5 linked regions of the Kluyveromyces lactis genome follow. The protein of the gene in region 5 purifies or fractionates together with the protein of the main gene of each other region. This does not show direct contact. Links are inferred from orthologs where the notes say so. Each region holds a gene or a part of one and is shown on either strand. Other genes may lie near its edges. The genes, in order: FUN12, HSP104, TIF34, HCR1 and TIF5.

Evidence for each region.
Region 1: the proteins of TIF5 (region 5) and FUN12 purify together in Saccharomyces cerevisiae (affinity purification with mass spectrometry, with the first as the bait; 3 studies listed by BioGRID). This does not show direct contact. The link is inferred for Kluyveromyces lactis from reciprocal best matches to the Saccharomyces cerevisiae genes TIF5 and FUN12.
Region 2: the proteins of TIF5 (region 5) and HSP104 purify together in Saccharomyces cerevisiae (affinity purification with mass spectrometry; 3 studies listed by BioGRID, with this or other methods). This does not show direct contact. The link is inferred for Kluyveromyces lactis from reciprocal best matches to the Saccharomyces cerevisiae genes TIF5 and HSP104.
Region 3: the proteins of TIF5 (region 5) and TIF34 purify together in Saccharomyces cerevisiae (affinity purification with western blotting; 13 studies listed by BioGRID, with this or other methods). This does not show direct contact. The link is inferred for Kluyveromyces lactis from reciprocal best matches to the Saccharomyces cerevisiae genes TIF5 and TIF34.
Region 4: the proteins of TIF5 (region 5) and HCR1 purify together in Saccharomyces cerevisiae (affinity purification with mass spectrometry; 5 studies listed by BioGRID, with this or other methods). This does not show direct contact. The link is inferred for Kluyveromyces lactis from reciprocal best matches to the Saccharomyces cerevisiae genes TIF5 and HCR1.

The regions. Positions count from the first base shown.
Region 1 is NC_006042.1:2,170,597-2,177,482, forward strand, and holds the start of FUN12 (translation initiation factor eIF5B), read right to left. Parts: upstream 2,833-6,886; coding exon 1-2,832. Other genes in the region: GTP-binding protein RBG1, read left to right, coding at 3,494-4,603; KLLA0_F23309g (uncharacterized protein), read right to left, coding at 5,177-6,163; KLLA0_F23331g (uncharacterized protein), read left to right, coding at 6,881-6,886. UniProt on the Saccharomyces cerevisiae protein: Plays a role in translation initiation. Translational GTPase that catalyzes the joining of the 40S and 60S subunits to form the 80S initiation complex with the initiator methionine-tRNA in the P-site base paired to the start codon.
Region 2 is NC_006042.1:1,665,781-1,672,824, reverse strand, and holds HSP104 (chaperone ATPase HSP104), read right to left. Parts: upstream 4,544-7,044; coding exon 1,844-4,543; downstream 1-1,843. UniProt on the Saccharomyces cerevisiae protein: Required, in concert with Hsp40 (YDJ1) and Hsp70 (SSA1) and small Hsps (HSP26), for the dissociation, resolubilization and refolding of aggregates of damaged proteins after heat or other environmental stresses.
Region 3 is NC_006042.1:694,358-700,164, reverse strand, and holds TIF34 (translation initiation factor eIF3 subunit i), read right to left. Parts: upstream 2,573-5,807; coding exon 1,529-2,572; downstream 1-1,528. Other genes in the region: KLLA0_F07425g (uncharacterized protein), read left to right, coding at 785-988; KLLA0_F07381g (carboxymethylenebutenolidase), read right to left, coding at 3,051-3,863; KLLA0_F07359g (uncharacterized protein), read left to right, coding at 4,064-5,032; KLLA0_F07348g (uncharacterized protein), read left to right, coding at 5,624-5,807. UniProt on the Saccharomyces cerevisiae protein: Component of the eukaryotic translation initiation factor 3 (eIF-3) complex, which is involved in protein synthesis of a specialized repertoire of mRNAs and, together with other initiation factors, stimulates binding of mRNA and methionyl-tRNAi to the 40S ribosome.
Region 4 is NC_006041.1:1,750,126-1,755,642, reverse strand, and holds HCR1 (translation initiation factor eIF3 core subunit j), read right to left. Parts: upstream 4,173-5,517; coding exon 3,339-4,172; downstream 1-3,338. Other genes in the region: DLD1 (D-lactate dehydrogenase), read right to left, coding at 1,046-2,776; PAR32 (Par32p), read left to right, coding at 4,866-5,333. UniProt on the Saccharomyces cerevisiae protein: Component of the eukaryotic translation initiation factor 3 (eIF-3) complex, which is involved in protein synthesis of a specialized repertoire of mRNAs and, together with other initiation factors, stimulates binding of mRNA and methionyl-tRNAi to the 40S ribosome.
Region 5 is NC_006041.1:549,292-555,219, forward strand, and holds TIF5 (translation initiation factor eIF5), read right to left. Parts: upstream 4,592-5,928; coding exon 3,395-4,591; downstream 1-3,394. Other genes in the region: SCF ubiquitin ligase complex subunit GRR1, read left to right, coding at 1-307; BIR1 (survivin), read right to left, coding at 484-2,820; EMC2 (Emc2p), read left to right, coding at 5,122-5,928. UniProt on the Saccharomyces cerevisiae protein: Catalyzes the hydrolysis of GTP bound to the 40S ribosomal initiation complex (40S.mRNA.Met-tRNA[F].eIF-2.GTP) with the subsequent joining of a 60S ribosomal subunit resulting in the release of eIF-2 and the guanine nucleotide.

The sequences.
Region 1 (6,886 bases), on a different chromosome or scaffold from region 5:
AGCAGGATCTTTCAATGTATCAATGGACCTTCTAGTGATGTGAGAATACAATGTATCTTTTTCATCAACATGACGACCCCAGATTGGTTGCTGACCGGAAGGATCTTCTAAACGCATTGCAACACCTGCATTGGTTTGACCCTTCTTGACTTCAGTCACAGATTGGTGATTGATTTCCAAGGAAGTGACTCTACCAAGCAACAATGTTATTCTCTCCTTTGTTGCTGGGTCATATTTCACTGCACAGATAGGAGTACCGATCTTCAATGAACCTTCAATGACATCCACACCAATGATCATAGGGCCACGCTTGTTAATGATTTGTAGAGTGTTCAGGACGCATGGGAAGGTAGCGTCACCGATAAACTCAGCACGACGCTTTTCAAGTAGTTCCTTCTGGTAGGCTGTGAAGGCATCGAATAAATGGTAAATAATATCAGCATTGAAAATTTTGATATGTTGTTCTGCAGCATATTGTTCTGCTTCCTTATCAACCTTGACATCAAAGCATAGCATAACCGCTAATTCAGGAGCTTTTTCTAACATAGTACAAGCCTTCATTATATCACGCTTGTAAACAGGACCTAATCCGACAGACATAACAGGAATTTTCATGTCTTTTAAGAAGTCTAATAAAGCTTCTAATGAACCCAATGTAGAAGCTTGAACAACAACACCTCTACCAGAAGTATCCACAGAGTCTAAAAGACCAGTCAAATCTTCCATGACGTCATCCATCATTTCTTCTTCATCATCGTCTGGACCTACAACTAATAATCGGGAACCAGAAACAGCCTTTTCCAAATCATTTGCAGCAATTTTTACACCTAGAGCAGCCTTGACTTCTTTGTGATGTTGATATTCAGACTTCAAACGTAACTCACGTAAGGGTTGAGGTGTCAACAAGGCTCTGATATTCGTCACAATCGGACCGTTCATACCACATAAAACGATTCTGTCACCCTCTCTTAAGTAACCATTAGATAGAATAACATCGATAGTGGTACCGAAACCTTCAACAACCTTCACTTCAAGAATTGTAGCTTCAACGTGAGACAAATATTTCAATTGCTTAGACATTCTCTTTTGAGTCAATTCTAATAGCAACCACAACAAATCAGGAACACCTTCACCTGTAACGGCAGATGTTGGAACAATAGAGACGTATTTGGCTAGGTTGTTGTTTTGGAAATACAATTCTGAGTTCAAACCTTGTTCAGCAAGAGCGACTTTGATGTTGTCAAGTCTAGTTTGGAACTCTTGCTTAACTGCTCGTTCTTGTTTGTCAAAGGAGTCTCTGAAAGAGTTGTTTGGTGTAATTACCCAGTCGTACAATCTATCGATCTTATTCAAGGCAACGATGAAAGGAGCCTTTCTGTCTCTCAATAATCTGATGGATTCAATGGTTTGTTGTTCTAAACCATGCATGATATCAATAACTAAGATGGCGATGTTACACAAAGAGGAACCTCTGGAACGCAAGTTGGTAAAAGATTCGTGACCTGGTGTATCAATGACTAACAAACCTGGGACATCGAAGGTTTGTTCTTCATACTTAGCCATAACTGCGGTTTTTTGTTCAATAGCGTCAATTGGGAAATAAGTGGCACCGATTTGTTGGGTAATACCACCAGCTTCACCGCCTTGAACGTTGGTTTGTCTAATCTTATCTAACAACTTGGTTTTACCAGTATCGACATGACCCAAGATACAGCAGATTGGAGAACGAAGATCTTTCTTTGCTGCTGCTGCAGATCTCTTGGAAGGGATTGGTTGAGAAGCATAGTTTTTGGTAACTTCAGTGGATAATTCCGGAGCTGGAGTAGTAGCATTAGAAGTTTCAGAACCAGAATATTGCTCTTTTTCACTTGTTTCTTCTTTTCCTTCTTGTTCTTCAGGTTCATCGTCAAGAGCCAAATTCTCCCAGTCATCAATCAACGCTTCCTCTTCTTCTTCGACTTCTTGAGTTTCAGTAGCTTTCTTCTTCTCTTCTTCGATTGCCTTTTCGGACTCGATTTGTTCCTTGGTCTTTCTGACTCTTTTACCGTAAACAACCTTCTTTGGTTTTGGATGCTCATCGCCGGATTTTTCTAGACCAGCAACCTTGATGTTACCGGCAGCCAATAGAGCAGCACGTCTGTTTTCAAGCAGTTTCTTTTCCTCCTTTTGTTTCTTAGTTAGAAGTTTACCCTCTGCCTTTAACTTTTCACGCTTAGCTTGTTCTCTCTCACGCTTAGCCTTTCTAGCTTCTTCCTTTTCTTGTTCAGCCTTGGCCAACTTTTCTTCTTCTTCCTTCTCCAATCTCTCTTCTTCTTCCCTGGCCAACCTTTCTTCTTCTTCTAGCTGCTTTTGTAACTCCAATTGACGTTTCAAAGCAGCAAGACCGGCTGGGACCTTCTTCTTTGGTGCAGCCTTTGGTGCCGCACCTTCAGTGGACTTGCCAGCCTCCTTTTCAGCCTTCAGTTTAGAAGTTTGTTCAGCATGAAGTTTCTTGTTGTTTTCCTTCTGCGCTTGTTGCTGAGCCTTCTTCTTTGCGGCTTGTTCCCTCTTCTTCTCCTTCTCCTTCTCCTTCTTTTCCTTTTCCTTTTCCTTCTTGGACTTCAAGACTGGCTTCTTAGTATCCTCGTCTTCCTTCTTGTCCAGCTTCTTCTTAGATTTCTTCAAAGTGGACATAAAATCTTCCTCAATGGCAGATGCATCGGCAACTTCGGTTTCACCACTTGGCTCAACAGAACCATCTATCGAGGGTTCTACTGAAGATTCTTGAGGAACATCTTCCTCATACTCTTCGTCCCAGTAATTCTGTTGATTCTTCTTTGATTTTTTCGCCATCTTGAACTACTCTTTCGGATACAAAGGTTCTACTTTTACAGTTCTTCCGAAATCTTATTATGATAGACAGCAAACAAAGTGTAAAAGAGGGTTATAACAAGTAAAGAGATAATGTAAAATCCTTTTAATTGATCTTACGCAAAACAATCTTTCAAATAGTTTTAAGTTGTGAGAAAAACCTGTACTAAAAAATAAAAAACTGATGAAAAACTTCAAGTTCATGATTATACGTACCTCGATGGAAAGAAAAAAATAACATACTAGATTACCCTGTCTTTGGTGAGGTGCGCCCAAAATTCATCTTTCAGGGGCCAGAAAGGTCCCATTAGCCTTATTTTCGGGGTGAAGACCGGTCGATGCCATTCAGCATCGCTATTTACGATCGGCGTTGAAGATGTATAAAATATCACCTTGGACGGCTTGAAAAAAATTGACAGCTTCATCTTTGTCAACAGTAGGAAGTTCTACAGATATTCACAATCTCATCGCTTAGGATTAATGATATTAGAGTTTCATTATAGTTTGGTTACAGAGGCCAAAATCAGTTAAACGGTTGGAATCGATAGGTATCAGTCAGTATTCCACTGAGGTTGGCATCAAATTATAAAAAAAGGATTTATTTTGAAGAATTTCCTGATCAATATCTGAATTGAAATAAAAGATGTCTACGACAGTAGAGAAGATTAAGGCCATCGAAGATGAGATGGCCCGTACCCAAAAGAATAAGGCCACTTCTTTTCATTTGGGTCAGTTGAAAGCTAAGCTAGCGAAACTTAGAAGAGAGTTATTGCAGGCTGCTTCAAGCGGTAGTGGTGGTGGTGCCGGTGTTGGTTTCGATGTGGCCAGGACCGGTGTTGCTTCAGTCGGATTTGTTGGGTTCCCCTCAGTGGGTAAGAGTACTTTACTTTCTAAGCTGACTGGTACAGAATCTGAGGCTGCTGAGTACGAGTTTACCACTTTAGTTACGGTTCCAGGTGTCATCAAATATAAGGGTGCTAAGATTCAAATGTTGGATTTGCCGGGTATCATTGACGGTGCTAAAGATGGCCGTGGTCGTGGTAAACAAGTTATCGCTGTGGCCAGAACTTGTAATCTACTATTTATTGTTTTGGACGTTAATAAACCATTGCATCATAAACAAATCATTGAAAAGGAATTGGAAGGTGTTGGTATCCGTTTGAACAAGCAACCTCCAGACATTTTAATCAAGAAAAAGGAAAAAGGTGGTATCTCCATTACAAATACAGTACCATTGACGCATCTAGGCCCGGACGAAATTAGAGCTGTTATGAGTGAATATAGAATCAACAGTGCGGAGCTTGCTTTCAGATGTGATGCCACCGTCGATGATTTGATTGATGTACTTGAAGCTCCATCAAGAAGGTATATGCCAGCTATTTATGTGCTAAACAAGATAGATTCTTTGTCATTAGAAGAATTGGAACTTTTATACAGAATTCCAAATGCAGTTCCAATCTCTTCTGGTAAGGAATGGAATTTGGATGAACTACTAGAAGTTATGTGGGATAGACTAAACTTAGTCCGTGTTTATACTAAGCCAAAGGGTACGATGCCTGATTTCACAGACCCAGTGGTGTTAAGGTCGGATAGGTGTACCGTAAGAGATTTCTGTAACCAAATTCACAAATCTTTAGTTGAGGACTTCAGAAATGCTTTAGTGTACGGCAGCAGTGTGAAGCATCAACCTCAATATGTGGGGCTTAATCACACATTAGAAGATGAAGATGTTGTCACAATTTTGAAGAAATGAATACAGGCTACTTTTTTTTTCTCATTCTTCTCACCGTCATCATAGTTTTTAGCATTTTCATCGCATTTTCATGTAGTGTTATCCATTTTATTTAACAGCTTTCCATAGACGGATCTGGTTAGATTATCGTAAACGTTCATTACTCAGGTTGCCATAACTTCTGTTAAACATTAACTCAATACTGATTTGTCGTGTTATGTTTAAATTCATAAATAGTAGTAAATATATGATATTTTGTGAAATCGATAGCAACGGATACATATGGCCTTTTTATATTGGCCAACATATATGTTAAGATATAAAAGCAATGATGGATGCTGATGGTGATATGGAAAGAAAGAATGAATGAATGAAACTTCGGTTATTTGACGAAGTGAATATTATTCTATTAGAAATGAATGTGAATAGTATTGGTGGAATCCTCAAAATCACAGCAGTATTTTAATGAATCCTTTTAAGGTGCGATATAGTACAGCTTGAATTAACAAACAAGGAAATCTGGAGGAAAATGCAGCCTACTGATGAGAGTGTATTCCATTGAATAACGGATAAATTCGCAGAGAAATAAATCCCTTATTTATTTAACGCCATTCTTTTTAGTCGTGGAGTTGCGTATTGCCTTGCGTTGTATGCAGAACTGTTATCAGGCTCAGGAGTTTGGAAATCAGAAGAATAACTGCAGTCGCTCTCAGAAAATGGAGTTGATGCTATAGATTCCATTGCATCATTAGCAGCATCTGAATATGGTTTATTTCCGAAAGATATATCTCCATCTTCTGCCTCATCCTCCTCAAACTGCTCGCGTCTTTTTGTCGCAAAGTTTGTTATTTCAGTCGAAGAGCCGTTGGTTGACCCCGGCCTCCACGTCAGTTCTTTGGATTTAACACGCTCATGGTAAGCCACGAGACCGCTACACCAGTAAATGTTATCCTCTTTCATATTGTTAACGGTAGGTCTCAAGTTTTTAACGTAACTAAAAGCATCCACAACATTGATAGATGGGTTCTGTTTGAGCATATGACTGATCAAAAGAATCACCAAATTCTCATCATTCCCATTCGAAGAGAAGACAAGAATGTTCCCCATCTTTGCAAGCTTGAACAAGGTAATCAAATCATTGAAACATTCAAACTTGTGCACACCATCAGCAGTATAAATATTGGTGGTGTACTCCGAAACAGACCTGTACAAATGCGATTGTAGAGGTTGGGCAGCGCATTCTTCTGATAGAGAAACGTGTTGTATAAGCGTTTTCAAGTCCACAGAATGCTTATTATTGAATTCCAGGATGTTACTCATGGTATCATCACTGAATCTGGTACGGTCAAATTCTTTATCGAGACAGCATATCATAAATTGGTCCAACTGTATGTTCCTGGCATACTCCATTGCACGTTCAACAGGAATACCAACACTGATGAAAAACTTGATATCATTCTTACTCAAGAAGTCATACTGTGATAAAGTGTTCAAGGGTCCGAAGAACACATTGTTACTCAACTGTTGGGGTTTCATCTGGTTCAACGTATGAGCCAATGCATAATTATTATGGTGAGACATGTCTAGTTGCTTTTTTCCATAAAGAATATCGGACCACAGATTGTAAGTAGGGTGAAAGATTGAGACAGAGAGCAAAACACAGGCTAGTTGTTACCAATACTCGAATTATACAAATGAGGTTCAATGCCAGTTAGTAAGCTCACTCCGCTCTTGTCCTGAGTCAAAGCCTTACGTGAGTCGCATTGATGAGGTTAGTATTCTTTTTTGCCAAAAGATCAAAAATCTGAAAAATAGAAAAATGAATTTTTCAAGCTCTAAAGGCTTATTCTAGTAAAGTAATGGAAATGGTGTAAGCTCGGTCAAAGGCTTTAATGCTGGTACAACGGAGGCGGAATGAGAACAAAAACAACGACAAAAATCAGACAATCAGATAATAATGTAAAGCTGAAAGCTGATTGTAAGTGCATGTTTAATTCGTCGAAGCATCGTTTGTTTTACTGTATGCCTTTTTTTTTTTCATTCCTCCATTTTCTTGTGACGCTTTCCAAGACATAAATGAAAGGCGACACTTTGTGTAATAAAAGATTCACCAGTACAAAGTGTTTACTTGTCAGATTTTGGCCTGTTGTCCATCCCTTGACACAGGGTATTTTTACAAACATAAGCTAGTGGTTTAATAGCAACGTATAGCGTAGATTTGTAACCAACCTAATTTCGCAGTAAAATGAGAAAACAATTGTCTCATATAGTTAAGTAGGAAAGGATAGCTTTTGTAATATGATA
Region 2 (7,044 bases), on a different chromosome or scaffold from region 5:
CATTAATATGTCACGGCACGATAATCCTTTCACGAATCTAGTAGTGCAACAATAATATACGCAAATGGATAGGCTTTCGCTTTCACAAAAAACATAGTAGGATGTCAGTTAGAATGGCAATCTCTATATTGCCTGCTCTTCAAGTAAACAGAATAGAAATTGTTTCCCATAATTTTTTGTAGTGATGGTTCAGAACGTCTTATCTGTACAGCACAATCAGAGAAAATGTCAAAAAAAGCGCAAAGAAAAGAGAATTTAGAGAAAAAACAATGCCAAAAACAGTCCACATTTTCAAATCAGGAGTAAACCTTAGTTTGGCAGCCGATTACAAAAAGAAATCACCCTAATATCTCAAACTGTTTAACCGGAAATGTAAGCACAGGCTCTCGGCTGTAAGATAATGCAAAATCGGGTATACGATATATAGAATAGATAGCTATATACTACTACGGGTCCAGCCAAGACGCGACTGTAAGTGCCTCATGCACGAGGAGCTAAAGGTGGTTCGGAATCCACCAACGGAAATTTCGGGAATGTACATATTGATGTAGTGGCATTGCATCACGGTATTTGAATTTCCTGATTTAGAATAAAAAAAAGTCGATTACCTCCAGTACGCGTTTGGTATGGAAAGAAACCCTGGCAACATGACAATTATGAGTTTACCCACAGTGGCATTATTGACTGTTTTTTCTTTTTAACTTGCATGCAAATACGGCACATTGTTCATACTCAAAACGGTGTTGGAAAAATGCAACGGCAGAGTTGGGAAAAAACGGGTTGCTCTCCTTATATGCAAAACAAATCCGCACTTGAACTAGTTAGCGTGGCACAGGTAAATAAATAATAATTATAGTATCTGTTAGCACAATAGGAATTGTGGTAACCATGGCAATTGTAAGACATAATTCAATCAATCAATAAAATAGTAAATCGAACCAAACAAAGTACCGGTAAATCACCCTCAAGTTCCTGTACTCTTAATAAGCCAGAAACATTTCAATCTTGTAATCCGAACAACAGTTACTGCCAAGATCCGGCCTCCTTCATTCTGTAGATAAAAAAAACCAAGGAGAACACATGTCCTTTTGCATACAAACTAAAAAATAGGCACCTGAGATGAATCTACGAAATGAAACGAATTTACAGTGCTGGATTTTCTTCGCTTCTGCATTCTTTCTTAGAGGCCGATAAGCGTTTTTCCGTTCCTTCCCTTCCGACGCGTTTGCGTCTTATCCCACACATTGGTACGTGTGTCTTCGAATTATAGAGAGGCTCGTATCCAAATGCGAGCGTACGCTTTAGTCCATCTGATTGCCTGCTAATTTTTGACATGTAATAATGGAAGCCTTTCAGGGAAAATGATCTACGTCTATCTCTTTACCAAGCATGTTTAGCGATGCCCAGAACGAAAGGTATATGGGATGTTACTCAGCCAATAACTCCACGGAACGAGGGAAGAAGAGGAAAAAAGCCGAAGATTAACATTCGTGAGGAAAGAAGCATGATTTGAAGAAAGACCAATCAAATTCTTTTGAATCATGTGCAAAATTGGACTTACTGACTTGGGAAATCAGTGAAAAAGGCTGAAAGAACCCTGCCCATCTAAGTAACATGTAATACAAACTCAGCCAGAATGCTTAGTTAGTACGCTTGTATGAATAACAGCAGCACCATTGGTTTGCACCTCTTATGAACATGAAAACATGTAAAAGTCAAAATATTATACTAAAGAAAGTGAAAAAAATATGTACTTTACACTATATATGATGGTACTGTTGAACTGAAATTTTATTACTGAGTGAGTTTGTTTGTATGTTTTCTTTTTGTAATTCATTTTAGATCAGTCTAGGTCTAAGTCGTCATCGTCGTCCAAGTCCAAATCCATGTCTTCATCACCAATTTCTGATGAAGCTGGGTGATTTGGTAAAACTTCTAAATGAGATCCATCGGCACCCACTTCTACATTGACAATTTCTTTGTCTTTGATCTCACCCTTCAAGATATGGATTGCCATTGGGTTCAAAATCTCGGTTTGAATTAATCTGTTCAATGGCCTAGCACCCATATCCTCCGAGTAACCATTCTTGGTCAAGAAATCCCGAGCTGGTGGTGAAACGTTGATCTTGTAATTCTTATCATTATCCGCAAATTGCTTCTCCAAGTCTTTGATTCTGATATCAACAATTTTGTGAATGGCCTTGTGAGAAAGCTTGTTGAATACCACGATACTTGAGATTCTATTCAAGAATTCTGGTCTGAAATGTGCTTTAACGGCACTCATCACCAACTCTTTGGAACCCTCAGTAACCTTTGATCCAGTCTGAGCATTGATAAATTGGGCACCCAAATTAGAAGTCATAATTACAATACAGTTCGAACAGTCAATTGTCTTACCTTGACCACTAGTGATTCTGCCGTCATCTAACATTTGCAAAAGAACGGTCAAGACATCAGGGTGGGCCTTTTCGACTTCATCAAATAACAACACACTGTATGGTCTTCTCTGTAATTGATTAGTTAAGAAACCACCTTCTTGGTAACCAATGTAACCGGCAGTAGTACCTAATAATTTCGAAACTGAATGTTTCTCCATCAATTCTGAACAATCGATTCTGACCATAGCTTTTTCATCATTAAACAAGAAGGATGCGACTTTCTTAGCTAATTCAGTCTTACCGGAACCAGATAAACCTAGGAATAAGAAAGATGCCGGTTGATTAGGGTTAGACAAACCAGATCTAGAAAGTCTGACAGCGTTAGAAACGGCTTTCACAGCCTCCATTTGACCCACAACTTGTTGCGATAACTCACGTTCCATATGGATCAACTTTGTGTTTTCAGATTCAGTTAGTTTATTCACTGGAATACCGGTCATTCTAGCGGCAGTCTCGGCAATAACCTCGCTGTTAACCACGTTCTTCACCATTGTTTCAGAACCTTCCCTGGATTCTTCTTCAGCAACTTTTTGTTCCAATTCCTCAATACGTTTCTTGATATCCGGAATAGCAAAGTATTTCAAATCAGCTGCGGTAGCATTATCGTAACGACGTTCGGCATCCATGCATTTGTTTTCCAATTCATCGAGCTTCTTTTTGGCTTGTCTTAGTTGTTCATGAGAATCCACTTCCTGTTGGTAACGCTGTCTCATTGGTTCCAATTCCTCAATTAATGAAGCTTCCTTTTGTCTGGCTTGTTGTAGCCTTTCTTTTGTCGTTGGATCCGTTTCTTCATCTCTTTCTAATGCCTTGATTTCAACCTGTAGTAAATGCAATTCGCGCTCTTTATTGTCTAATTCTTCGGGCTTAGAATCACGAGCAACAGCGACACCGGCACATGAAATATCAACCAAGTCAATAGCAGAATCAGGTAATCTTCTGTATGGCAAGTACCTCTTAGCTAGTTGAGCTGCAGACACTAGGGCACTATCTAGAATTCTAACACCATGATGTATTTCATACTTTGGCTGTAAACCTCTCAAAATAGCTACCGTTTGCCTTGTCGTTGGTTCAGGGACATCAATCTTCTGGAATCTTCTTTCGAAAGCACCATCCTTCTCGACCAAAGATCTATATTCGTTAGTGGTAGTGGCACCAATTACCTTCAAGCCACCACGAGATAAGGCTGGTTTCAAAATATTAGCAGCATTGGCAGAATCATCTACACCTTGGCCCATCAACATATGAATCTCATCGATGAATAATATAATTAAAGTCTTTGATTCCTCGATTTCTTTCAAGACACCTTTTAATCTTTCCTCGAAATCACCTTTATATTTGGCACCAGCCGTCAATGCAGCAAGATCCAAAGAAAATAATTTGCAACCCTGTAGAATTTGTGGAACATCATCGTCGATAATTCTTTGAGCAACACCTTCTACAATGGCAGTCTTACCAATACCTGGCTCACCGATCAAACATGGATTTGACTTGATTCTTCTAGCAAGAACAGTGATGGCAGTTCTAATTTCTTCTTCTCTACCGATAACAGGATCCAACTTACCTGCTCTAGCCTGTTCAGTCATATCGATCGCATACTTCTTCAAATATTCCCATTTTTCATTTGTATCAGCGTCTCTTGAATCAATTCGTTGATTGCCTCTCAATTCGAGCATCTGCTGCTTCACAGATTCTATGTCAATGGAACACTCCTTAAAAATGCTTTGAGTTGTTGCATCTTTGAACAAAGCAGTCAATATATGATCTTGACCGACGAATGAATCTTTTTGCTGTTTCCTAATTTCTGAAGTATCTTTCAAGACCTGCCCGAAAGCATAACTTGGCTGAATTTCTAATGGTGCGGGCGTCTGAGATGGAGTCCTGACTAGGTTTCTGTTGATGGCCCTTTTCAAAGGTTCATAATCATATTTCGCTAATTCCACCAAGTTTTGTAAGAATCCAACAGAACCATCCTCGTTTGGCTCAACAAATGCAGCAAGTAAGTGAATTGGTTGTAACTGAGCATGTCTGTGATCCTGAGCCAATTTCTGGGCCAAACGGATAATTTCGTTGGCCTTATTTGTAAATTGTGTTTCGTCGTTCATTGTAGTAATATCTTCTTTCTAGACAATAAACTGTTGATGCGTTTGATGATCCTGACAATTGTTGTTTATTTCTATCAGATAGACCACTATTGATACAATTGATGTAATTGAATTCCAAAGCAGGAAGCACTCAACAAATGATTCTTCGGATGGTCTCCCTTTATATACCTCTTCACTACGCTTATATTCTATAAACTTTTTTTTTCACCTATTCTTTCTATAAGCATCTATCAAAAGATACCCTAAAATCACCTTATTAAGAAAACTAATAGCAAAGCAAAATATACCTCAACCCCTATCTCCCGGTACCAGTCCCAGCTTTAGTATTGCCCAATTCACAGACAAACAAAGCTCTAACAACTACATTACTTTTCCAGTATAAACCAGTACATTCTCGAATAATTCACTCACTCAAGGTTAAGCTTTTAAATTACCGTTGGGACTGACGTTCATGGCTACGTAAAATAGAAAATTGTAAGTACGTCCTTATTGTTAGTTGAATACTAGATCAAACAACCAGCTATCCCAGCATGTTGCTTACGGCAATGTAGAAGCTGTGTGGGGATTGTAAAGCTACTTAAAATTCACTCTGCTCTAAGCTAGAGTCCGGAACCGTGATAGCTAGAACATTACCGGATTTTTCTGGAAGACTCTCGAAAGTGCATGTCCACAAAGAAAACCGAAGAAAAAAACTGGAACAAGTGGATCACCATCACGTGATAGATTTTGAAATTTAACGCTAGGTTTTTGGAACGCACTTCTGTTTCGATGTCAGGCGTCAGTTTTGTAATTCACGTTAATTAAGACAATATCATTGGCATTGTGTCAAGTTTTGGATAGCAACATATTATTATTTTCCTTGTAAGATCTACATATGTATAACTAGATATTCCAGCTCATGTGCGTGATGATCTTTCGTTTTTGAATCAAATTAACAAGGACATCATGAAAGCAATAATGGAGCCTATGGACGAAGTTCTCTTCCAATTATAAGCATCATTTAGGGCAGTAGAATGATCAGTCTCAGTGCCATTGTAGTGACCGTCATCTGTTTTCCATTCAGTGTCCGTTTCGTTCTTTACCTCTTTGTAACCTTCCTTCAATGCAGCAGAGGTAGTGTGATGTGGTTTCTTGGTGAAACTCGTCTCAACACGTTTTTCTTCAGTCACTGAAGGTTCAGCTTCGGAGTATTCATCATCATCATCATGTTTTTTGTTCTTCTTGTCACTATGTTTTTTGTTCTTCTTATCTTCCTTTTGCTTTTTCTCTTCTTCCTTCTTAGCCTTTTTCTTCTCTTTCTTGGTTTTTTTATCTTCTTTTGGCTTCTCTTCCTCAGACTTTTCGTCCTTTGATGTGTCGTCCTTTGGATCTTTTTCCTTTGGTTTGTCTTCCTTTGGTTCGTCTTCCTTTGGTTCGTCTTCCTTTGGTTCGTCTTCCTTTGGTTTGTCTTCCTTTGGTTCGTCTTCCTTTGGTTCGTCCTCCTTTAGTTTGTCTTCCTTTGGTGGTTTTGGAGATGGCTTCAATTTCTCACATGGAACAATGTCAGCGCATGCATATCTTGTACCATTAGAATAATGTAAGGTAATTGATCTACCTCCAACAAAAGCGGGATCACCCTCGATCAATGATAAGTATGGATCCAAATATTCCGTCTCGTAATAACTGTAGTCGATGTTACCGTACTTACCACTTAAGTCACCAACTTCACATTTGGAGATATCATTACCGCATGGCACCTGCCCATTGTAAGGGTTCAAGTGTTCTTTTGTAGACTCACAAGTTGGATCGGATGGATCAACTGGTTTTTCGTGGATGTGATATTGAAGCTTTGGCTCCAAAGTCGATATTCTGACGTTTACCTTGGCAATTCCATCAAGACTAGTGAAAGTGTGATGTATCCACCAACCTTATCGGAGCCAACCTGAGGAAATTCTGCAAGGTAGCAGGCTTTCTCTGGATTTTCATAAACAACTGGCGCAGACTCTCTATCAGCACCTGCTAGTGCTATTGGAAGAGCGACTAAAATTGGAATTAGCTTTTTTTGTTGCATGACAGATATATTCTTTTAAGTGTAATTGAATAAAGACTTTGGTAAGTTTGTTTTCCTGGACTTGTTTAAAAAACCGGTTGGAATACGAGTGCTTATTTAAAAAGTTCCTTAGAGAGTTTCTAGGTGGTAATAATACTGTAAAGTAGAATAAGAGAAGTGCCTTTTGTGACGGTAAAAAGAGAAGTAATTTTATCCTATACAAAGAGGTTTATATATTTAAAATATTTCAGCGTGACAAGGAATGGGGTACAAATACAGAATCAGAGAGCCATGTCAGAAAATAGGTAAGAGAAACCTTTGTGTCACTGCACATCTTGGTTTCTGTGCTCAGTGTATATATTTTTATTTTGAATTTTATTCTGTCGCGGGACGTGCACGTCCATTAATTTTGTTAAAGTACCTTCGAGTATTTTTTTTAATATTGGGACAGCAAATATATCCTTGGACAGCG
Region 3 (5,807 bases), on a different chromosome or scaffold from region 5:
AAACAGACTAGAGAAAAAGTTATGTTAGTCATGTGATATCCCTATTCGCTACCTAAAGGTTTTCTGTTTTCGGTCTTAATGGATGTTTACTACGTGAGGGTCGAGGAACAGTTCCAGAATAAGACTCCAGCATAATACGAAAACAAAAAGTAAGGTTTGAAATTCAGGAACTGCGGCAACACCTGAATTAGAGGAACCTTCTTTGGCAGGGAGAGCCCTTGACCGGCCCAGTGTAAATTGGAGCAGCTCAGATTAAATAGTCGCTTTATCAAGGAAATATTGTGAATTATTCGGTTGTTTTACGTTCTACTACCAAATTGAAAAGTAACAGTAGATGTTTGACATTTTCATGCAAGATACTTTTACACATCGAATAGTTTTACGCAAGGATCTCTCACTTTTATGTAGAATTGACGTTAATGAATTAAGATACAAATTCTATAAATCACCGTAAATCACGTTTGATCTCCTCTAGATTTCAACCGTTCGTATTTTCGTTTTCAATTGTACCGCTTATGGAATTGACAAGTTTCTCGAAGAGAAAACTATGGAATTGGAATGGAAATTATAAATTGAAGTATTTTTGAAATGAGATGATGATATTAGTTAATCAACTTACGCAATAAAACTGCCATTGGATTGCGTAAAGGAAACAGAGACAGAGCATCTCACTGGTAGGGCCATACTCCTCCACACTTTAACTAGTTGTGTTGTTCTTTTGCTCCCTTTTTTTTGTATTTTCTTTAGGCTTTCTCTAAGAACCGTATACGATCAAACCTGAACAATGGCAAGAGGCAATCAGCGTGAGCTGGCAAGACAGAAGAACCTTAAAAAACAACAAGAAAGCGGTAAAAACCAAAAGAAACAAGGTGATCCCAAGAAACGTATGGAATCCGATGCAGAAATCCTGAGGCAAAAACAACAAGCTGCAAATGAAAGAAAGGAAAAGGAAAGACTTGAGAAACTGGCAGCAGAGAAGAGAAGGTAAGTACTTACATCGATAGAAAACCTTTACGTTTACTCTCAACGAAGTATGCTACTGAAGTTTTAAAGATCTTTTCATACGTCTTACACATTTTAGCTGACGGGCTCACATATGATGGGACGTTTCTTCTAAAAGTTTGTGTCTGAAGGTTAGGTTATTTTACATTAATTTACATGGGTAATTGAATGTACATATAATTATCTAGCAAAACCGTTTCCGCATTAATCCTAGCAATATAAGCAATGAATGAAAACATTAGTTATTAACAACGATGAATCCAATAGCCGTGGATCACTGTTTTTGGGGTAAACGGACACATCTTTGCAGAGTTCGCAATGGAAGAACTCTGGTATGTAAAATAATATGCAACTAATGATGTTTAGTTATTGGTATACTAATATTGAATGATGAAAAACGGGAGCGTCAATAGGTTATCTAGTGCCAGAATAGAGTTGTGAAAAGTATGGATAATGTACACTGGTGTCATCAGATTTGTATCGATGGAAGAAAAAGAGATGTGTGATATGAGATGAATGACCAAGTTTATTCTTGCTTTTGCAGTTGTTGCCTTCTTTCCACTTCAAATGTCTTTTCCACGTCGTATTTGAAATCGAAGTATGATTTATCGAAATGATGTAAACGGATGTAACCATCTTCACCGCCAGATGCATATGATGTACCAGTTGGAGAAACGGCGACGTAATTCAAAGGACCGAAATGACCCTTAACTCTGCCAATTTCATCTTGGAATACCTTGTGGTAAATTCTGGCTTCGAACTTACCTTCACGAGCACTAGTAGTTGTGACATCCTTAGCATCTTGACCACCACCCAAGATTACAAATTCTTTGAGAGGAGTAATAGATGCACTATTTAATGGACAATCAGCCTTGTATGTTTTTAGAACTTCAAAAGTGTCGACATCCACCAAAGAAGCGACACTGTCTCTGGATGAAGTGATAAAGTAAGTTCTGTCTGGAGAGAATTGGATATCTTTGATGCTCTTTTCGTGGATCTTCTTTGCTTGAACGAATTCCCCGTTTTCACCGTAGTAAGCACTGATTTGACCATCTTCATGACCTGCTATGATGTACTTACCATTGTAGGACCAAGATGCAACGAACACCTTGGTAGCTTGCTCGATGGTTGTAATTTCGTAGTCTGGTTCCTCCTTCACATTCACGATTTCACCGTTTTCGTTTCTGATCAAAGAGTAAACAACAATGGAACCAATGTGACCCATAACGGCATCAAGTACAATCAAAAGTTTGCTACCGTCTGGAGAAAATTCGACTCTCAAAACTGGACTTCTGGTAGAGACAGAATGGACTGCTACACCTGTAGCAACTTTCCAGATCTTGAAACAGAAATCAGCACCACCAGTCAACGCATAAGTTGTGCTTTCATCAACATCAATAGACCAGATAGTACCAGAATGATCATCTAGAGTACCTAATCTTTCACCGTTGATAGCGTACCAGATAGAGGCAACACTATCTTTGGAGCAAGCAAAAACTAAGTCACCATCACGGTTGAACTTAACTTGCGTTAATGGACGTTCATGACCCTTCAAAACAATTGGTCTCATCTTTTCAATATTTTATACTTCTGAGTTCGATCAGAATCTGCTATTGCTGTTGGTTCCGAATAATCCTTGAACCAGTACTGAAGCTGCTCTAAGCTTTTTCTTGAAAATATATTGTTAATCCCACTGTGTATTTCGAATTTTTTTTCACTAATTCATCAATTTCTTTCACTTTTTCATTTTCTAAAGCTTCTTCCTCTGTGATAATACGCTCTCTGGCTTTACTTACGCTTGGAAAATTTTACTGATAAAAGAAATCTGTTAAAGGTAGGGTAATGAGGAAAATAGCATCCCAAGTAGAAGTACTGTGTCACTTGGTGATGATAAACTCTCAGAGTGTGTCCATACGGATCTCAGAACGAGATTCCATGACATATTATGGGTACTGGTTTGAAACCTTTGGTTTTTGCTGCACTAGTATAAGTATAAGTATATAGATATATCAATGTATAGTTGGCTTCACATGAAAGGATCGCATTGTCTAACAAACATGCTCGACAGGCGCATTGTCGTCAACGAACTCTCCTAGTTCACTCTTCAACTTTCTATCAAATAACTCAAACATAAAACCCAAACATGCTTTTGTCACTGCGGAATCGAATCTCCCCTTGCTGAATTCGTCTCTGATAAATGCATGTTGAGCACCGTTGATTTCTAAAAATGTGACAGACTTATCCTTCACTGCATTTCTAATTTGATCTCTGCCTTCCCATGGCACATGAGTATCTTTGGTACCAAAAATCAAGAAACATTCCTGGTCCTTTTTCCAATTGGCTGTAACCTTTTCCAATGAATCGTCATTCTTGCCCAAACCTAAAGAGTGAGAGTGAATATCAGTGGGGAAGAAACATGTTGTAGCCTTGATTCTGGAGTCAAGTTGAGCTCTGAAGGCCAAATGTCCACCTAAGCACATGCCAGTTGCACCAACTCTTCCATTCCATTGTGGTAGGTTTTCTAGTACATCAAGGCACAACGTAACATCTTCATCATACGATTCTAAGGGTTTTTCAATCTTGAATTTGTTACCTAGATCAGTACCCTCAGTATCATACGCCAAGGGTGTAGAATCTACAAAATTATGGTATGAAGATGGTAAAATGGCAATGTAACCTTCTGCAGCAATCGTTTGAGCGAATCTCAAAACAGGTCCAGTAACCTGATAAATTTCAGAGAAGACTAACACAGCAGGGAATTTAGCATTTGGATAGCCCTTAACGGTAGGCTTCACGATATGTATTCTGATTTCAGAATCGAAAGATGTTGGTAAATCCTGGTGACACTGTTCGATAAGCATTGTTTCAAATCAGCTGTGCTTGGTCTCCATTGTCTGATGATGGTGTTTTTACATGTTCAGATTTTTCTATCAAGAAGACGGGAAATAGATATTTATGTGTATTGACATTTAGAAAACAATCCATCTGATGAGATCGAAAAGGATACAAAGAAAAGAAAGCTATACTTGCCATTGTCATTGAATAGAGGATAGACAACCTGATGAGAACGCAATGCGTTGGTACTACACAAAAGGGATCACAATGCAGGCTAAAAGCCATAGAGGGTGAGAAGTTCTGTAGACATCATAGTACCCAAAACAACGGAACCTCTATTGCAACTAAAGCACCCCATATGCCGCATGATGCCCCAGAATGCGTTGGTACCACACGAAAGGGATCAAAATGCAAGCTAAAAGCCATAGAGGGTGGAAAGTTCTGTAGACATCATATTAACCAAAACAACGGAACCTCCAGCCCAACCAAAACACCCTATATACCGGAAGATACCCCAGAATACATCTACATATATACTTACGCAACGTTACATGAGAATGCTGTCGTGGAAAAGAAGAATAGGAAAGAGATTACATGGTTAGTAACCGACAATAGTAAGATGAAACCCAGTAAGAATCAAGCATTGATCCTACGTAACAACCGCTTCGATCCCTGGCAGCACAATAAAGACGAAATTCTGATCAAAATAGGTATGACAAGAAGAAGTGATGTTTCTAAACGAATTAATGAATGGCAAAAACAGTGCAAACGAGACATTATACTAATAACGCCCGAAATAGTTCGTCAATGGATCGTCTCCTCCACTACAAAACCCAAGAGCATAAATTCAATGTCGAATGTCATTCAGAAGTTATGTCGTTTGGCATTAAACAACCACAGTAACATTGTAAAACATACTACTATCACCAGCACCACCATTACTGACACAGGCAGATCAAGAAATAAATCTGACAGATGCTTTACAGAAAACGGATTCCGCTGTAAAGATTCAGGTCACGTGGAGCGAGAAATCCATGAATGGCTGTGGAAAGAGTACGGGAAGGGTAACATCATCTGCGAAGTGTGTCAAAAAACACACAGAGAATGGGTAAAAGTTCCGATCGGACAGATGGAATATATTGTAAATACCATCGACCGCATTTGTTCTGATAGTTTTTCTCTAAAACGGACTTGACAAAGGGCGTTTTCGTACTATGATGGCCTGGCCCTTTATTTCATTTTCTCTCTTTTACTACACTGTTCTGTAGGTGACATGTTTGGCAAATTAAAACCGTTCAAGGGGTCTTCTTAATTAATTACAGAAGAAAAATAGTGCTTTACGCTTCAAGCCTAAGAAAGCATTCTATAACGAGCTATGTATATGATACGTTTTGATATCTACAGATATACGAGAACAGAGGGTAAACATAGAAGATATCGTCGGAGCGGAACGCGAGGTTGGCGGACGCTTATCTGATAGGGACTGATAAAAGCCTTTTTCTAGGTTTACACGGGCACGCCAGTACACCACACATACATAATTACATAATATATTGGAATCGGCGTTAATACCCGTGCGAGCAGAATTTACTCTCATGTTTATAGGATTATATGTATATATAAAGATACATACAAGGGAATTTAATTGGTGTTATTTTAAGAGCAGGGAACGCGTGTGTTTTACAATTACTAAGTAGAAGTTTACTCGTACCATATATACTGAATCATAGCTCAGACCCCAAGCACTTGATTACAAAACCTTATCTATCGTCAGCTAACTAAAATAATGTCATTAACGAGTGAGAAATTCGAAGAGAAGTTCAATGAGCAATTTCAGCAGGGTATGATTGACCAATTCAAATGTATCCAGGACAGCGACTTCATCCATGGATCAGAATACTTAGACGAATATTACGATAGGATATACGATATTTATCAGAGACAACTCCATGCTGCTGCGCAGCAACACC
Region 4 (5,517 bases), about 1.2 Mb from region 5:
AATACGTATTCCATCCCTAATAGAACTCGACAGATTCTTTCTGAGCAGCATTATGAGTTGACGCAATTTGAACCTCCATGAAATGCCCAAGGACATCGATCCATTTAATCATCGGGGTCTCATCATTATGATCCGATTGCTGATAATATTACATAACCTATATCAAGTACACATTCAAACCCTCCCTGAGTCTGGGGATCCTATCCCACAAATACCAGTACAGATTGAATCCCACAGAGAATATTAACTGCCACGAATACTGCCATGTATATGTGCGTATATTTTCTTAGCATCTTCAATTAGCAAACTGTCGTCAAACACCGTGTAGTATCGTTTTTTTTTGCTATCAACATTTTGCGTTTGAGAAAGACAGACATACAGAGCAGGAAAAAAGAACAGAAATAGAGCAATCACTTTGCTGCAGAAGGTGGAGAGTCTCACTTTGAAAGACATTCAGGACGGTTGTCAACTTATCCATCGGAATAGTCTATGAAACTTGTAAGAATGAATTTGTGTTACTATGTTGTCGTTTTAGACAATCCGCAGAAAGTTCAGTGAATAATATAATGAATGGTGAACAATGAATCGGATCTCATCTAACTCGTTAGTCACATGATTAGAAATGTGCTGGTTCTTAACTTGGTTAATGTTTATATCTCAGGTTTTTTTAGGCTTTATAGAGTTTTCTAGTTTCTTACGTATGAGTACATTGCGGCTATAAATCTTGCCGAACCTAATTTCTGACTTGCGTCAGTTTTTGATCAGACAGTCCATTTGCACCTTTGATGTAGAGGAACGTGAGGTTAATGATGACTAGTAGTGCTGCTCTTAAATACCAAAGTTATGGTGTTTTATTTTGAATATGATTAACAATAATGACTGGCAGTTTGTATGGATTGAGCGTAATAATTACAGGGAATTTACCTTATAGTCTATTTTTGTTGTTTTTAGGGAAGAGTTCGTCGTCGTATCTGGTATAACATTAGTTAGTATTACCATTTTCATTAGCGTCATTCATTCATTAATGATAGAACCGAGGGTCAGATTAATGTTGATGATCGTTTGGATCAATCTTGAAGATCTTATCTGGATTCAAGATTCTCTTAGGATCCAAAGCGAGCTTCAACTTTCTCATAACTGCAACAGTGTCTTCACCAACTTCTTCCAACAAGTAGTCTCTCTTACCGATACCGACACCGTGTTCACCGGTACAAGTACCTTCAGCATCAATGGCTCTCTTGACCATATTTTCAACAATAGTTTCAGCTGTTTTTCTTTGTTCAGTGTTGTAGATGATGAATGCATGGAAGTTACCATCACCAGCATGACCAACCAAAGAGGTTAATAAACCAGATGCGTTCATTTCTTCCTTGGTAGCATTAATAACATCTGCGAATTTCGAGATTGGAACAGCAACATCGGTTGTCCAAATGTTGGCATCTGGGTTGGTCTTTCTGCCGGTATCAATGGTTGACCAAAGAGCAACTTTTCTAGCTTCCCATAGTTCTAGCTTGGAATCTTCATCAGTAGCAAATTCAAATTTGGTATTGTTGTGTTGAGAAGCAATTTTTTCCACTTCTTTAATGACTTCTTGAATAATCTGTTCAGATCTACCACCAATCTTGAAGAACAAAGTTGGAGATTCGACCCAGTTATCCTTTGAAGTAGCACCACTTTGGTTGATGATTTTCATCATGTTATCATCCAACAATTCCATAGCATTCAATTGAATACCGGCTTGAATCAAATGAGAGGAACAAGATGCAGCATCACTGACAGTTGGGAACGGAACGACAGCGACAGTTTCAAAAGTAGATCTAACATGACATTTAATAGTAGCTTCAGTAACGATACCCAAAGTACCTTCACTACCAATAATTAACCCGTTCAAATTGTAACCAGCAGACGATTTTCTAGGTCTTCTCTTGGTCTTAACAATAGTACCATCAGCCATACACATAGTAATATTAACAACGTTTTCCTTCATGGTACCATAACGATAAGCGTTGGTACCAGAACAAGAATTAGCAATGCAACCGGCGATTTGAGCACCTGGACCAGGGTCACAACCGAACAACAAACCATGATCGTTCAAATATTCGTTCAATTCTTCCCATGGAACACCACCTTGTACCACAACATCCAAATCCTCTTTATTCAATTGAATAATCTTATTCAAATATTTTGAAATATCCAAGACGACACAAGACCCTGGTCTAGTTGGTAGGAAATGCCCTTCCAAAGAGGTACCACCTGAAAATGGGATCACTGGGATAGAGTATTTGTGACAGATTTTCAATAATTTGGAAACATCTTCTGTGTTGCGTGGATACAAAACAATTTCTGGTCTTTGATTAGCTTCAGCATGATGAGAGTTGAAATAGGTATCCGAATGAGCATCCAAATCGTCCTTAGCCACAGTGAAGTTTTCAGGATCGTTTTCTAAGACATCTTTCAATTCAACAAGAGCTTTAGCAAAAGTTTCCTTATCACAGTACTCGGGAGAATCAAGGTCTTCCAATCTAGCAATGGACAAATCACTCACGGACTTTTCCTTCTCGAACTGAGAGCCTAGAGCATATGCAACAAACCCACCACCAATTAAAGAACCACCAAGAACGCTTAAAATGGCGGACGAAAATCCACCGCCGTTATTACCGTTAGAAGACGAATAATGTCTTTTTGCAACGGCAGTGGTCCTAGAACGCAGAACGTCCTTACGTAGTTGCAGCGAACCACGCAAAGCAAAACCGGATCTTCCAACAAACCTGAACATTGAGTTGCGTTTCTGGTCTTTCTTGCACTTTGCGATAACAAGTACACAAAACAGCTGCTAAGTTACCAAGTTTCTCTACCAAGTTGTTACCTTATTATATAGTATATTGATATGCGGAATACAGACGGCGTTCGATTATACATATATATATATATATATATATAAGTACAAGTTCATAGCTGAGAAAAAAAAAAACAGTTCAAACGCGGAATAGGAACAATCATATACCGTCGACTCCACGACTTGGTTCATCCACCCTTGTTTTGATACATATCCGGCTTGCTCTCCTCTGGTCTTCTCTGGCTTTTCTTTGTTGCCGGATTTCCATGATGATTTTTCACTTCGTAGCGTGGGATGTAGCGTGGATCGGATCTTGTTGTACTGGTTTGAGGCAGCACTGGGCCAGTGGAGAGTCAAGAGCGCTCTCAGATTCGGTAGATGAGAGAGAGAAAGAGCGACCGGGCTAGCGAACAAGACTTGGGCAATATTAACAGTTCAATTGTTTACGTTCTATATATGATATGTGATGATGATATGTGATGAGATCTGTTTTTTTTTTCTATTACATGAAATCGTCTTCTCCGAAATCGTCAAAGTTATCGTTACCACCTAGGTCGAAATCGTTATCCTTCTTGAAGGCACCGCCGAGGTTAGCCCTAGTAGCCTTGGCCTTCTTCTTACCGGCACCGCCTGTGGCGGTGCCTCCCTTGACTTTGGCCAAACGAGCTTGTCTTTCTTCTCTTTCTTTATCCTTCATCAATACGTTCAATGTCGCAATGGTTTGTCTGATGTTTTCGACGGTCATTGGTTTGGAAATGTCTCTGATCAAGTCGATGGCTAGTCCACCAGAGTAGTTCAACAAGGATTTGTTGCTTGTCGAGGTGATTGCGGTAGCCAACGCTTTCCTTAATTCTTGGTAATCTTTTTTGGTTTCCAAATCCGAGAACAATGGGTGCGATTGGATTGGGGTATCCTTGGTCAACGCAGCAGGTTGGGCGACAGCTGCAAGCTGTTCTCTTTCACGTTCGGCGCGGGCTCTTGGATGTTCTTCTGCGACGCCAAGACCGCCGAAAAGGTCTGCAGCGTTGTTCAAATCAGATTCCAGTTCAGCCTTTCTCAATAGTTCTTTACGGGTCTTGTCGTCAAGAGTATCGATATCGAGCATGGTGTTCTTTGTAGCAGCTGGTGTAGCAGCTGGTGATGGAGAGGCTTTCTTTGGAGCCTTGGCTGCAGCTGCTGCTGCTGCCTTAGGCTTAGGTTTAGCAGTCTCCTCGTCCTCCCAGGACTCTAGTACCGGCTCATCGTCGTTTTCAGCGAACTCATCATCCCATGAATTCAACACTGGCTTCTCTTTGGAGCCACTTGGCACTGCAAAATCTTCGTCGTCCCAGGACATTGTTGATTGATAATTGATCTCGGTTAGGGTAGAGCTGCTGAAAGCAAGTGTTTATTGATTGTCCTCGTTACAAATTCTTGTCAAGATGCTTATGGGTGGCATTAAATTTCGATTTTTGGGTCTTTTGGGAGCTGTTACCCGGGGCAGTGGTCTTCCTTCCTCCGTCCCTCCCTTCTGCCGCAAAGACTGCTACGTCAAACCATCATATTGCATGTAGAACGAAAATACCCTGCTATAGACCACGATTTTTTGTCTATCCAGAGTTCCACTGGCACCATATAACATGTTAATGATCACTTCCCTTTTAATGGTACCCAATTGACGTATTCATATCCTGTTCTGCCCATTATGACGCTCCAAAATTAATTTATTTTTGATACCTATTTCTCAAAATTAAATAGTTACTTTTTCTGGCGTCACTCATGCACCAGGCTCCTCATCATCCCATACGACCTTCGGTCCCTTATCATCGATTCCTTGACCAACACACAATTAATGATCAACTCTCGATCCGAACCTTTTTTATATATACATGTCAGTATTGAAAACATAAAATGTGCATCCATTTAATAGTTGTTGGTCCAATCTAACCATTGTGATATAGGCTCGTGACAAGTGGACCTAATCTGGAATAGTTGTTTGGCAACGCAATAATAAAGAAAGTATCTTTGGGAGATTATTCAATATATCGGCATGGGTGAATATAGAGTAAGTACTGGAAGAGGAGGCGCAGGAAACATGATAACGTCGAACGAGAAACCTTCACCGAAGGTTGTGACACAGGGTTCCCAGACCCCCAATATACTATCGCCAATTTACTCTACGGGTCGCGGTGGTGCTGGTAATATGAGGAGGAATGTGGACCCGGTTATGACACGCACCGCACAGGATGTTGACGATGACGACGTGATAGACGTGACTTCTTCAAACAATACAGGAACCATCAAAAAGATCAAGTCGAGACGCTTCTCGGAACCTCCAAAGACCATATCGATCGGTAGAGGTGGTGCTGGGAACATACTAAGCCCTAAATCGTCAAGAAAGAAAAGGGATGAGAAGGGCTCTAAGAATTCCTCCACTGGAGACAACGGATCGAGTCACGTGGACGAAAAATCATCAAAGAGTGGGTTCTTCTCCAAATTGAAGAGTCTTTTCAAGTGAATCGCCACCGATCAGCTCTTCTCCTTCCTATCTTTTCATCCCTCACACTTGCATAATGAGACTATATAGTCCTCCTTCTTCTTCCCTTCTCCTTTTTTATTAACGTAACGAAATGAACTTTAAAAAGTAATCAAAAGATACTTCTTCTGTCTTCATGAACATTGGGACACAGACCCTGACAACT
Region 5 (5,928 bases):
AATGAGAAATTTTAAGATTACAGCTTTAGTGTTGAGAATTTACGTGAAGGAAAGTTTGACAGTACTTACCCGTCAAAGAGAATTGGTTTTACAACGTGCCAGGGAAACATGGGACAGAGAGGCTGCTAATGATCTTCCTGACGGAGAGGGAGATATTGACATGGGTGTCAATATGCTATTACCACCAGGAGGAACTGTGGCTGAAGAAACTGATAACAATGATAATAATATAGATTTGAGGCTCTTCTTACCTCCCGGAAACGAACAGAATAGAGAAACTCCGGATGATCAAATCATTGAGGAGTAACTCAAGTTAAGTGAAGAAATTAGCACGGAGAAATATGATCGTAGTGTCGATGATAATGATAACAATTATAATACTAATAATACTAATACAATTTTTCGACGCCGTTGTTTGGTCAATCGATATATGTAGAAACCCCTATGTTTGTGTCTCTGTTTTTATGTAGTTGACGTATTTCGTCAGAAGTCAATATTAAACCTATTAGCAAACTCAAGCAAGACGGAGTCGTCATCGATTTGCTGTATGAATTCCTTTGCTGTTGAGAATTGTCGTTGTAATGTCTCTATTTTTGTATTAATGGTGGTTTCAAAAGATTCAAAAATCTCCTTTCCTTTCTGATCAATCCAGTTCTTGAAGTTCAGGGCAAGCTCCTCATTAGGCATGCTGTTTATGAAAAAAGTCAGCTCACCCGTTAAATCAGAAGCCAATGAAGCATCAATTCTATTCATGTACAATAACAGATCGCTGAAATACTTATTAAGTGTTAAGACATCCTCACTCAAGGAAGTTAGCTCACTGTTATGTAATACGTTCCATTTTGGTAGGCTTTCAATAGGAGTGGTCTGCGTTATTGATTCTGCATCTTGGTATTTTTGATCCAGATGTGGGTGATCCGTAGAATGGTTAGAATTGTTAATGACAGCTTTAGTGTCCACGTCTGGTGAGGAGGGAAATGGTGCGAAAGATACTTTTGGCTTGTTGGAGGGCGATACATCTGGTGTTCCTTGCCCGTTGACATCTTGGAATGTTAAAGATAAAGACCATTCATCTGATAATCGGTTTGAAGTTCTTCGCTCCGTGTTATCCGCACCCAAATTGTTAGCGTGACTTTCGACTAGCTCATTGCTAATATCGGCACCCTGTTCCATTCTATTTTGAGCTCTTGAAACGTCATTGGCGAGTTCTGGCTCATCTATTGGATTCTGCTTAGGCCGAAGCAAATCTCGTTCACGATCTGGTAAACTTTGAACAGGTGATGAATGAACTCCGTCCTGGTTGTCATTGGGAGAGTAATCACTATCATTTTCACTTTCATCGCTGAATGCTATATCAGTATCAATAAGTTCCAGTTGCTCTTTTAAAGGCTTCATTGGGCTTGATTTTTCGGTTTTATTCTTTTTACTGCTCTGAGCAGGGAACGCCTCTTCAGGTATCACAAAGTTGCTCGTTCCATTGTTGTCAAAACTGAAGACATCATAACTGTCATCCAAGATTGTGTTGGGTTTTGTGGCTTTTTCTTTGTTCTTCTTAAAGTCTAAGAAAACATCTTTATTCTTTTCAACAGATTGCATAAATGAAGTTTCTCCCACCTGGGAACCCTTGGAGTCATTAATCCCTAATTGAGCTGCTGTCTTCGCAAGTTTTATTTTTTTCTTTGGAGAAGCTTCTAATTGATCCTTTTGTTGCATTCTGCAACTTATAATGTCATTTAGTGTCCATTGATTTTCAGGTAACTTTTCGGTGTTAGAAGCAGATTGATTTTTATCTTTATTGTCTTTGTCCTTTGGTGGACGCCCTCTGGGTCTTTTTATCTTTGGCTCCGCAGTCTCATCTCGTAATTTTTTTGGTCTTCCTCTTTTCCGAGGTGCTTGTGTCTGAATTGCGCTGTCAGTGCCTCTTTGAAGTTGATCAGATGCTGTGTTATCACCAAACTCTATTCGGCCCTTATCTGCTCGATGATCTGATTGTACTTTTTCGAGCGGGTCAACTTCAGGTTTATAAGAGTCATCTGATGATAATGATGTTGAACCTTTGCTACTATACGCTGAAATGCTGTCCGTCACTCCCGCAATACTACTTGACGCACAATGTATACTTTTTCGTTGGCTATTATCTTTAACCGGGGAAGATTCAAGTTCACTCACGTCACTCCGGTGTGACGACTTTTTAGGATCAAAGGTATCTCTGGAAGAGATTAGATTTGGGTAGTTATCTTTCTTATGTAGGATCTTTTCAATCTTAAGTTTCATATCATTTGAGTAGTTCATATCTTCATGCAATTGTTCTGTCCTTACGCTCACAATCGATTCAGTTTTCTTGGGTCGTCCTCGTTTCTTTGGCTGAATTGGAATTGGAAGAACATTGTGAGAATGCTTAGCTCTCGAAGCTTTTGGAATACCTCCTGATGTGTCCTGGATATTGTTATTATTATCAGTGGTAGTATTCTTCTTAGATTCTGAAGTAAAAGATATATTAGTTGGATCAATTAGAGATTTTCTAGGCCTTCCTCGCCGTTTCTTTACCGGAAGACCATTTTCATCCAATATAGGTTCTTTTTTGGCGCTTTTACGAGCTTCTGTGGTTGGGTTCTTTCGTGGTCGTCCTCGTTGTTTTTTGATTGGATTTCCATTTGCATCTAATTCAACCGGTACAACAGGTTTAGTTCTCGGTCTACCACGTTTACGCTTTTCTGCTTTGGGCAATTTAGGCGTGTTCAAAGAGCCTATTTGCTGCAAACTCGATTCCTCTGACAGGAATGAAAGATCCATTGCAGACGAGAGGTTGGAATCATTCATTGTTACAGTACGCCATAGAAATCAAACCTACAGATCATTCATGTAATGAAACCGTCTGATGAAAGTGTATTTTTACTCTTCTTCCAACAAGATTCGCACCCTATTCTTCTCTTTTGACAGGACCTAGTATTCTTCTTGTCCATTCAGGATGTAAATATGATTTGATCTCAAATTGTGTCTTCTTTTTCCACGAAAGTGTAAACAAAAGAGAGAAAAGGATCATCACAGCTGAATATTGAAAGACAATAAATAGGTTATAAGAAGACAAGGGCAGGTCGGCACGGCGCACCTATCAGTGCCATTCTTGAGCCGCTAATGATGTATGCGCAAGGTCATGAATGTATTAAACATATGCGTATATATGATAGTATACATACAGTATTTTACAGAGCTAAAGGATAAATATTGAAGAGATTTAGTTCGCTCTTGATAAAATGAAAATGATATTTATTCTGTTAATGCAAAACAAGGAGATGGTTAGGATGATAAATAGAAAACGAAACACCGAAAAATCTGGTTAAAATTTGAATAGTATTTGAACTTTGACCATTTTCTTATAAGATCATGATTTTCTTTATTCCGAATCCTCATCATCTTCTTCGGCAGTTTTCAACCAAGTGATGAATGGCTTGGCAGCTCTACGAACCTTCTTAGAAACATCCTTTGGTACAAACTTCTTAGAGCATTTGGTACCGAAGCTGATAATCTCTTCTTCGGAAATGATGTCGTTGTTGTATAATTGGACCAAGATCTTTGGTAGTAATGGGATCAATTCTTGGTGATCAAGTCCAAGGAATCTTTCAATACCACCCAAAAAGTTCTTTTCGAAGTCTTCGTCCTTCAATAATTTTTGCAAGAACGCAGTATGTTCAGAGATATCCGATACGATATCTTCATCGAAAAGAACTTGGGCCAGAACTGCAGCAACCTTTGGATCTTCCAGAAGCTCGAGTTCTGCAATCTTTTTGTATAATTCAATATCGGTAGGTAGTTCTTCTTCATGTAGTACCCATTCACCAAATTCTTCCAACTTGGAGAATTCGCCAGTTTCTTTGTCAGCTTCACCTTGTAATTCTTTCGCACGAGCTCTGATGGCTTCTTCAGACATATCAACGGCCCAGTCCTCATCCTTGACTTCAATGGTAGCCAAGTTAGAGGCAGCGGCATTAATTTGTCTGGCCAATTCATCATCATCGGAATCGTTTTCTTCGGCATCGTCACCAGCTTCAGCTTGGGATTTACCTTGAGCGATATCACTAATAGAAAGACCACCACCTCTGACATTAGCAGACGCAGTGGCAGCCTTCTTCTTTTTCTTGGAACCGTTCATACTGTCAGGAGGGTTCTTTAAGACGAACGAGGACAACTTATGTCTCAAATCCATAGGGGTTCTCTTACCACAAGCTTTACAGTCTCTAACCAAATCACCATCTTTAGTGATAACAATTTCAGTTTCAGGATTCTTACAGGATCCACAAAGGACAAACTTAGTGATGAAACCATCCAATACGTCCTGTAATTTGGCTGGTTGATGAGCACCATTGACAATGTAACGATCATTTTCAACATTGATAGCAGTTTGGGCACCCAATTCAAACCCGAAATATTTGATGATGTATGGAGCTGGTCTGTTTAAAGCACGGGCAACATCCATGGTATTCATAACAACAGTTTTGATACCATTACCTCTACCTTCAATCTTAGCCTGAATTGGAGGCATTTTATAACGGTAGAAAGGGTCATTGTTGTCTCTGCAAATATTGATTGACATCTTCGGCTACTGTTACTAATCTCTAGTCACTTGTTTCTGCTACCACCGTGTCTTTGACGTTCTTCAAGTCTGGAAAACACAAAAACTTTTAAAAGTAAGTTCGAACTGATCCTGTATTGGACTGTAAAACGGGGTCATTAACGCCTTCTTGAATCATGTATATGGAAGAAGTTCATCTCATCTCTTAGAAGTTCAACTTCAACTCTTCGCGTGTGGCAATCAGATACTGAGGCCTTGATTCCTGAAAAATTTTCGTCGTTTATGGTGATATGAAAATACATGTCGAAACGGAGCATGTGTCACGTGCTTTAGCTCCAACGATTCATTTGGCTCTGTGATTGTTTAAGCATCGGTTCTGTAAGAGACATATTACAGGGTATAACATGGGTGAGATACGTATGGTGGTGTTAAATGTTTGAATACCTTCAATACAATTACTGCTCGTGGAATTTAGTGAGTAATTTACTGTGTTGAAATTGTGCTCGAATCTCACATACATCTTAGGGTCGAAATCTAACTTTGTTCATATCATGGATTTACTTAAGAACAAATTACTGGCAATCCATAAGACTGGCGCATGGGCCATTCTGCCACCTAAAGAAATTGATTTGGCTTATAAGGAAACGAAACTTTTGATAGATGCTGGGTTAAATGGGCTTGACGAAATTAGTTATTTCTCAATGGTCGAATTATTGTTTTATCTTTGTCTTGTTCGTGGTGAAGACACAGAGGCTGAAACATTGTACAAAACTGTGACAGATCGTCTAGGTGACGATTCTCCAAGAATTCATGTGATGCACTCTATGTTAATACAGGTCACTCGATCCGATGATGCGGCTAAGAAATATATCGAGGATTTGATCAAGAATCAGCTGGAAATAGCTACTGATTCAGAAGACTACGTACAGATGAAGAAAAGGCTACTTGCGATAGAGAGACCTTCGATGAGTAAAGAAAAATGGGTAAAAGAACTACTGGATCTGGTTGAGAAGTTTCCTCTAGATGCAGAAATATGGTCGTTACTTTCGCAAGAATACCAGGAGGCTGGGGACCTACGTCAAGCAATATATTGCATGGAAGAAGTCATAATTGGGGTGCCGTTCAGTTATGAAGCATTTGGTCAATTAGCTTATTTGCATTACTTGAAGTCTCAATCAGATTCTGACCCTGAAGCTGCTTTGCAATCAAGTTTATCAAATGCGTTGAGATCTGTTGAGTTGGCAGAAGCCTACGTGAAAGGTTGGGGTATTGTATTGAAGACATCTCAGAAACTGAATAAAAAACCTGAATTAACTCAATTAGCTGTAAGAAAATTGCAAGAACTTCAGCAAAATAAT